Linked DNA regions of Arabidopsis thaliana. The protein of the gene in region 1 purifies or fractionates together with the protein of each later gene. This does not show direct contact. Each region holds a gene or a part of one and is shown in the gene's direction. Other genes may lie near its edges.

Region 1 (3,294 bases):
GTCTATAAATACATCTAGATACTCACAGACGAAACTCACATCTCCCACCAATCTCACTCAAAAGAAAATCTAAGAAAAGATTCTTAATTTTCTGAAGTGAATGCAAAGATGATGATGGAAGAGAAACTTGTGATCAACGAATTGGAACTAGGGAAAGAGCTTGCTAACCGATTGATGAACAATCTCAAACACACTTCTTCTGTCGATTCCAACAAAACCTTGATCTCTGATATCCTCCGTATTTACCAGAATGCCATTTTCATGTTGAGCTTCAACCAAGACAAGAACATCCTTAAGCGAAGCCTTGAGATCGATGGAAAAGATTCTAAAAACGTCTTCAAAAAGAGGTAAATTGAGCTAAAAGATTGGTTTTTTGTCTCTCTTTCAGTTCCAAACTGTGCTCATGTGTCTGATTCCTCTGTTTTTTTTTTTGGTGATTTTCAGGAAAGTATCGGAGAAGAACACAGAGAAAGTTAAGGTTTTTGTTGCAACAGAACAAGAAAATGGCTCTATTGATGATGGTCACTGCTGGAGAAAATATGGGCAAAAAGAGATTCATGGATCCAAAAATCCTAGGTGATTATCATTCATTCATCATCTGGGAATTTCAAAGTTTTAATTTTTCTTTTGCTATATTTGCTAAATCCTATGTCTCTGTTTTTGTTTACAGAGCATATTACAGATGCACGCATCGATTCACACAAGACTGTTTAGCAGTGAAGCAAGTTCAGAAATCAGACACAGATCCTTCCCTTTTCGAAGTGAAGTATCTCGGAAACCACACTTGTAACAACATCACATCCCCGAAGACGACGACGAACTTCTCTGTTTCATTGACGAACACGAACATCTTTGAAGGAAACAGAGTACATGTTACAGAGCAATCGGAAGACATGAAACCGACCAAGTCCGAAGAAGTGATGATAAGCCTTGAAGATCTGGAGAACAAGAAGAACATTTTCAGAACGTTTTCTTTCTCTAACCATGAGATTGAGAACGGTGTGTGGAAAAGTAACCTTTTCTTGGGAAATTTCGTGGAAGATCTTTCTCCTGCAACATCAGGGTCTGCAATTACCAGCGAGGTTTTATCTGCACCTGCTGCTGTTGAGAATTCCGAAACTGCAGATTCGTATTTCTCGTCTTTGGACAATATTATCGATTTCGGACAGGATTGGTTGTGGTCGTAGCTTTGAATAATTGATTTGGTGAATGTAATGTCTCTCTCTTAATGGCAGTAATTATAGATGGTCAGTTTAATTTAAGGGTTATTAGTTATTACTTATTAGTATAGTAAAAATTATTTTTGCCGATGGATAAAAATTGGCTTATAGGACTAAAGTTACATGATTTTGGCCTTTTTCATTGTTTTTCAGCAGGGTTTATGAATTATGATTTCCCTATGAAGTTGGATTGTACTTTATGACAATTAATAAAGAAAGGATTTTATATAAGGTTTATTTGTGAGTTAAAGTTGTTAATTCTTATGATTAAATTGATAGAAAGACATTTCAAATGTCACATTAGTATGATTGACTTATGAAAACGCTTTGTAAAAGTGATGCAATTATTAGGATGAACAGATTAAAAAGTGGAAAACTCTTCCATCTTTCAAATTTTCAAGCAGTGTAAAAATTAATTCCAGTCAAAAGAATATAATTTTTTCATTTACAACTTTTTGTCTAAGAAAAGAACATATCGTCATTATGGGCCATGAGCCCAGATAAAAACTATCAAGCCCAGCTTCGAGAAGAGACTCTGTCGATTTCATCATCATAAGAATCTTTCAGATAGTCGGAGAAGACGAAAACGAAAGTTCCGAAGAAGAAGAAGAAGAAGGAGAAAAGATGATTTACCGAAAGTGGAGTTTGCTGTCCGGCCCACCGGTTATCCTCGGCGGAGCGGTAATTGCTGCCGTCGCCGTCGGATTCGTCTTGCAAAACGTATTCTCCTTCTCTTTCTCTTGTTTGGTCGTTAGATCTATATCTTCATTGGCTGCTTTTTCTCTCCTTCTTCACAATTTTTCATGTGTTGCGCTCCTCCTTTGATCTTATTCGGATCACAAATACTCTTGATGAGTTAGTAATTTGGCCTTTTGAAACATTGAGGCACGAAAGGAACAACCTTTAATTGAAAATTTGTGTTCTTTCATAGTCTTCGTTGATGGATCAGGATTGCCTTTATTTGTGTGTTGATAAAGGTTATGAATTTGATCCGTATCAGGCGACTAAGCTTCTTTCTCGATCTTCTGGAGATTATATGTTTGAATACATAAACCAATTTCATCTTTTTTTGTTGGTAACTTTGATCCAAAGATTTAGATTTGGAGTCTGACTTTTGGTGTCTGATGATCAGGTAACGAAAGGGGAGCAGAAGAAGAATGTCTCAACAAACAAGTGAGAAGACAAATGGAGAGATGCTACAAAATGTGGTGATCATGTGATTTGATACAATTTAGTTCTTGCAGTGTATAAGCTCAATAATGCTTTTGTAAGCTTTTGAATACACAGATCTTTGTGGTGTTTTTAGATTCTTGTTACTAATAATGATATTTCATTTTCCACTTTCTCATTCTTTACATTGATCATAAGGCTCTGTAAAGTTAGAAAAAAGTTTAGCCTAGTAATGTTAGGATAATCTAACACGGATGTTCAGAGAATACAACAACACAATGGAGAGGCTCTTTATATTTCTTCATGTAGCTCTCCTCGGAACTCTCATCCCAAACCCACGCTTTAGCTTATCGACCCTAACCATGTAGCATCACAGACCAAACTCAGATACATGAGAACTTGAAAGGTAAGGCGAAAAAGAGAGGTGTTATAGGCTATGTGAAAGCTTACGTTGGGGCGAGTTTACCAAGACTATCTAGCTCTTCACCGGTATCTTCGTCTATGACTCTACCTGAGATGTAAACAGTGTAGGATCGATCTCTATCCCGTGGAAGACCTCTGGCAGTGAGCAAGCGCAGGTCTTTCTGGTGAAGCTCTCTTCCGTTCACAAAGACTCTTGTGGTTCCGCCAGCGCAATTCTCTGGCATTGGGTAATTGAGCTCTTCAATGAAAGGCTGTAAGAAAGGAAGGAGTCACCTTTCGCCAGTTTTAGTACACATACTGAAAAAAACGAAAAGAGATTGACAAATATGATTTGTTAGCTGATGTTTACCGGTAATATTCCAAGGCAGTGACTTCCCAGTACTCCCCAGAATCCAGCTCTGTAGTCGTACCTGGTAACAAGCAACAGAATAGAAGAGAATCATTAGGGCTAGTAGGTGAGGAAAATTTATGAGATTGAAGG
Region 2 (5,606 bases), about 17 Mb from region 1:
AAATTAAAATATTTAATTAACGATTTAAATCTTCTAAATCTTTGCTTTTAGAGTTATTATGTCATTACCTAAAAGGCAAAAAATATATATATTTTTAAATATTATTATTTATATATTTAAACTTTATAAAACATTATTAATATTTAAACAAAAAGTTTAATATATCAAAAAATTTAACATCATTATATAATATATAGTTTAAAAAATCTCAAAAAAAAATCCGTCATATTTTGTGATTCAAAATTTTAAAAATGAACATATATTAACCAATTAGCGAAAAATGTGTGGGTTCAACATCCCGCATCGACTAAAATATTTAGACAATGATTCATAAATAAGATCAACATTAATAAAATAAATGTTTTTTTTGCAGGATGGGTTTTGCGGGACGGGTTTGGCAGGACGTTACTTAATAACAGTTGTAAACTATAAAATAAAAATATTTTATAGATAGATACAATTTACAAATTTTTATATATATACTATCTTTAAAAAATAAATTGTCCCCGCGGTGTACCGCGGGTTAAAATCTAGTTTAAACTCTATAAATGGAGGCTTGGTTCAATTTATTTGGACACATAAAAAAATGTCATTTCTACCATAATTTTCTTATTCTTCTGCCATAAATTCTATATATTATTCTACCATAATGTCATTTTTAATTAATTTAATTTAGTTTTAATAGATATTTTAACTTAATTTGTTTAACAACTATTATTATGCATCACGAAATATAAGATATAAGAAAATAAGAATAAAAGAAATAGTGGGGTTGGGTGTTGAATTTTATTAATAAAAAACATTGGAGTGATAAAAAATTAAAGTAAGGAAGAAAGAGGAAATGATGTGAAATGTTCAAAATTGAGGTGGAGGTGCTGAATATGTTTTTGCATTGTACATAGTTTTAAGCATTTAACTATTGAATTAATATTTTCAATAAGTCATTGTAGATAGTCATAGAGAAAACAATTAATCAATACTATTTTTGAATGCCCACCAGCACTCTAAACTTGCACATTATCACAAATACCAACGGTCCCAGGAATTTTCCAATCTTCATCGGTCTATGTAAACATAGATCATTTATTTTGGAGAACACATTTATATTATTTTATTTTTAGCTTTTCTTGGATTATGTGATACATATGGAAAGCACAAAATGAAAAACTTCACGAAAATATGGATCGAGATCCAAGGGATATTCTCAAACTAGCGAAAAACAAAGACAATGCTTGGACGTTAGCCTGATTGGAGGTTGCAAATGAAATTCAAGCCTCAGTGGCAGTTAAGTCGGTTAATATAAATCTTTCAGGATATCATTGTTTCATTGATGACTCTTGGAAAGATAGTGACAAGTTTTTGGGCATGGGATGGTTCTGTATTTTACCAAATGAAGGACATCCAACCATGTGTGCTGGAAGCACTCGTCTGGGCAATGAAATGTATGATTGGCCAAGAAAAGCGAAAAGTAACGCTTTTTATAAACTGTAGATCTGATGAAGATGATGTATTTTCCAACAAAATGGCCAACATTCGCTACATACTTAAAGACGATTCAGGAAGATAGTGATGAGTTTGATTTTTTTGATTTATCTCTAATGCTTCGAAATGTAAATGTTAAAACAGACCACTAGATACGGAATGTTCGGATATAACCACATATGATTATCTTTGTAAACAATACTTTTTAGCATTGATTTATTATTTGAGTTAATCTAATAAAGTTGTCGGAAAAAACGGAAAAGTGAGAAGAGAAAAAGTCGAAAATTCAGAAACGGTTTAAAGTTAACCAGGATTCCGGTTTTTATAACAGAACCGATCGGTTTTGTAATTGAGACGAAAACTTCTGATATCACTTAAAAACTTCACAGAAACAACACCTCGATCTCATCGAAGCTCCTCTCTCTTACATATCATCACTTCACATCAACCAAACCTACTTCTGTCTCTCTCTCTCGCTCTCTATCTCTCACGCTCTCACAGGTTTTTTTCTCTCTCTGTCTCTCTCTTGTTCTCCATTTGCGTCTCTGTTTGTTTGATGAGTTTCTGAATGTTAAATGCAGATGTGTTTTGGTTTTCTGTGGAAGTTTTTATATCTCTGTTGATTGAGTTTTTCTCTGATGTTGTTGGGCTCCAAAAAATTCGAAACTTGTATTATCTCTCGTTTAGGTTTCGTGTTCTCTGCATTGATCTGCTTCTTTAATTTGTTAACTATACTCACGTATGTGAAAAATCTGAACTTTGTTTGTTAACTCTAATCCAAATCATTAGAAAAATGCAGATTGAGATTTCTCTAATGCAGTGCTTGAAATTTTGGAAACTAGGGTTCTTGTTATAATGTTTCAAGTAGTGAACTTATGTCAACTTGTGCTTTAGGTTTGATCTGATTCTTAAATTTTGTTTCATATGTGGTCTTTCTTACAATGTTTCTGGATTTGTTGTTTTAGTAGAAGAAAAAATTAGAAAGGTTGTGAGAATGGCGGCTACAGCAGCTTCAAGCTTACAAATTGCTACACGAAGGCCGAGCATGTCTTCGCCTAGCAAAATTCTTAAAGCAGGAACCTACATTGTTGGTGCCAATCCTGGAAACGCTTCATGGGATAAACTTTCATGCACTCGCCAATTATCAAACCTTGGATGTTTGAGAAACCACAGTGCTGTTCCAACTTGTAAGAGACCCTTTTCTTTTTCCACAAGGGCAATGTCTGAATCCAGTGAAAACAAGGCTCCTTCAGGGCTTCCAATTGATTTGAGAGGTTGGTTGGCATATCTTTCTTTGAATTCAGAGAAGACTTGGTGCTATCTGAACTAAGCAAGTGTAAATGGTACAGGGAAAAGAGCTTTCATTGCTGGTATAGCTGATGATAATGGCTATGGTTGGGCCATAGCAAAATCTCTTGCTGCTGCTGGAGCTGAAATATTGGTTGGGACTTGGGTTCCTGTAAGTCATTTTTGGTTCAGCTGCTTTTAGTTTCCTTCATTGCTAAATTATACTAACCTATGAATGGATGGTCTACTAGGCACTTAATATATTTGAGACAAGCTTGAGACGTGGAAAATTCGACCAGTCACGAGTGTAAGGACTTACAACATGATCTTGTCTGGTTTTATGTAATGGGACATTAATTTTTCCATCCATGTATATTCAGGTTGCCTGACGGGTCATTGATGGAGATTAAGAAGGTTTATGCTTTGGATGCTGTGTTTGACAATCCTGAAGATGTGCCTGAAGATGTGAAAACGAATAAGCGATATGCAGGATCGTCAAACTGGACCGTACAGGTATAGATTAGAGATACACAAACACGCCTGCAAGTTAACATGTGTTACTCCTTAATGCTTTTTGTTGCTTAAATCAGGAAGCTGCTGAATGTGTGAAAAAAGATTTTGGAAGCATTGACATTCTTGTCCATTCCCTTGCAAATGGCCCAGAGGTAGAGAACTCGTATCGATTATTGGTTACAGTAAGTGCATTGTGTTGTATACAAACTATTTCCTAATGGTGTTCACATGTGGGTTTAGGTTAGCAAACCTCTTCTGGAGACATCAAGGAAAGGCTATCTCGCTGCTATCTCTGCTTCGAGTTACTCCTTTGTTTCCTTGCTGAGGCATTTTCTGCCAATTATGAACCCAGGCATGTAACAAATTTCGTATGTCTCTTTATTCCTTGTAAATATGTTTTCTTATTTGGTTCTCTATGATGATTTAGGAGGTGCTTCAATATCTCTTACTTACATTGCCTCTGAAAGAATCATTCCTGGGTAAGGATGGCTTCTTCACAAGTTATTCAAAGGAACAAACTAATGCACACACATAACGATGTCAACACATTCTCACAAGTATCTCTTTCATTCTGTGCAGGTATGGTGGAGGTATGAGTTCTGCCAAAGCTGCACTAGAGAGTGACACACGGGTGAGTTTACAATTCTGTTTCGTAAACTCAAAGATGTATCGGTTAGAAGTCTCTTAGTCCAAACTGTGTTTTCAACATAGGTGCTTGCATATGAAGCTGGAAGGAAATCAAACATTAGGGTCAACACCATCTCTGCGGGTAATCCATCTTTCCCTCTTACACGCCTCGTGGTACAAATAACACGCCTCGTCTTTTGAAATTATAAAAGAGTACTACTGTTTGGGTTTCAGGTCCTTTGGGAAGCCGAGCAGCAAAAGCCATTGGGTTCATAGACACCATGATTGAGTATTCCTACAATAATGGGCCTATTCAGAAAACACTGACCGCAGGTTCATTTCCTTCAAACCATCACCTCTCTTGTGCTTGTTTTTTCTTGGAATCTTACGCTTTATAAATGGCGATGATGTAGATGAAGTTGGGAATGCAGCAGCCTTCTTGGCATCTCCATTGGCCTCTGCCATAACCGGTGCAACCATATATGTGGACAATGGTTTGAATGCAATGGGCGTTGCACTGGACAGCCCGGTGTTCAAAGACCTTAACAGCAAGAATTAGAGTCTTGATCGACGACTGGACTCGAGAAATTCCGTGTTTTCGTGAGCTTGCTTGTTTCTTTATGAGTTAGTATGTACGGCATATGTTCCCCATCGGCTGTCTTTTTTTTTCTTTCTTTAAGAGAATAAATTATGGTTCTAGGTTGGGTCATTTAGCAACTATATATGTAGTGATGGATTATTATTCCTCTTATGATTGAAAATTTGCAAGTGAGAAAAACTATCATGTTTCTTGTAAGTTGTCTCCTCCAGTCTCAAATCTCAAACCAATTTACAAGACTAATGAAACCTAACAGCCTCTATTTGCTAACTTTTGAAAGTTGTACATAAACCTCACAAACAATAGCAGTTAATTCTGCACATATCATCTAAATTTGGCTTTAGTAATTGAAACTGGCATAAACTTAGAAGCTCAATATGCTAAATTTGGGAGGAAAACGTTAGCTATCATCTTGAGTTTTTTACATATGTAATCTCAAATATTACTAATAAGTTTAGAGCTCTGTATGGTTGATAATTTACTAATTAGAACCATGACATCAACAATGAAGAATACAAAACATGATGAATCAACGAGAAATAAGAAGCTCTTGAATTCCAGAAAGGAGATAAAAATGACTATTATATTACTTCCCCTCTGGTCACCAGTATCATAGTATTATACATAAAAAAAAAAAAAAATAGCATGTATCTATATTTCATCTTAAAAGCAAAAATTCAATTTTTTATTTAATAAAAATATAGGCGTATGATCTATCTCTTAAATATATTATTTATATAAATAATATTAATTAAAATAAAAAATTTCTAACTTTCTAACAAAAATATCAACGCGGTACACCGCGGGTCAATCTATAAATAATACAAGTTTTAAATCTTTATTAACTCTTAAAAAAATCCAAACCACAAACAAAATAATATTAATTTTCTCGGCGAGGCTTGCAGCGTGGTCGGCAGTCAGCTTCTCCAATGAGAGTTGTTTGCTTGGGACTCCGAGATCTGTGGATCTATTGGATGCTCTGTCTTATAAAGTGTCGGCGAAGGCTCTGGTCTCATTATGTTTCCTGTTGCTTGTAGCGGATCCGTGGTTGTTTGTCTCACTCTGTTTTGCTAGTCCGGTAAGCAGACTTTCCAACCTT

Evidence for each region.
Region 2: the proteins of SDH8 (region 1) and MOD1 purify together in Arabidopsis thaliana (affinity purification with mass spectrometry, with the first as the bait; one large-scale study listed by BioGRID). This does not show direct contact.

Annotation. Positions count from the first base shown.
Region 1 is NC_003071.7:19,041,569-19,044,862, reverse strand, and holds SDH8 (succinate dehydrogenase subunit), read left to right. Parts: upstream 1-1,628; 5' UTR 1,629-1,844; coding exon 1,845-1,940; intron 1,941-2,352; coding exon 2,353-2,397; 3' UTR 2,398-2,562; downstream 2,563-3,294. Other genes in the region: WRKY46 (WRKY DNA-binding protein 46), read left to right, coding at 109-347, 445-576, 671-1,187; AT2G46380 (extra-large G-like protein, putative (DUF3133)), read right to left, coding at 2,692-2,746, 2,841-3,064, 3,163-3,223.
Region 2 is NC_003071.7:2,320,400-2,326,005, forward strand, and holds MOD1 (NAD(P)-binding Rossmann-fold superfamily protein), read left to right. Parts: upstream 1-1,815; 5' UTR 1,816-1,983; intron 1,984-2,447; 5' UTR 2,448-2,476; coding exon 2,477-2,756; intron 2,757-2,831; coding exon 2,832-2,941; intron 2,942-3,020; coding exon 3,021-3,076; intron 3,077-3,149; coding exon 3,150-3,282; intron 3,283-3,359; coding exon 3,360-3,434; intron 3,435-3,522; coding exon 3,523-3,634; intron 3,635-3,709; coding exon 3,710-3,761; intron 3,762-3,861; coding exon 3,862-3,913; intron 3,914-3,993; coding exon 3,994-4,051; intron 4,052-4,143; coding exon 4,144-4,242; intron 4,243-4,322; coding exon 4,323-4,468; 3' UTR 4,469-4,798; downstream 4,799-5,606. UniProt on the Arabidopsis thaliana protein: Catalyzes the NAD-dependent reduction of a carbon-carbon double bond in an enoyl moiety that is covalently linked to an acyl carrier protein (ACP). Catalyzes the last reduction step in the de novo synthesis cycle of fatty acids.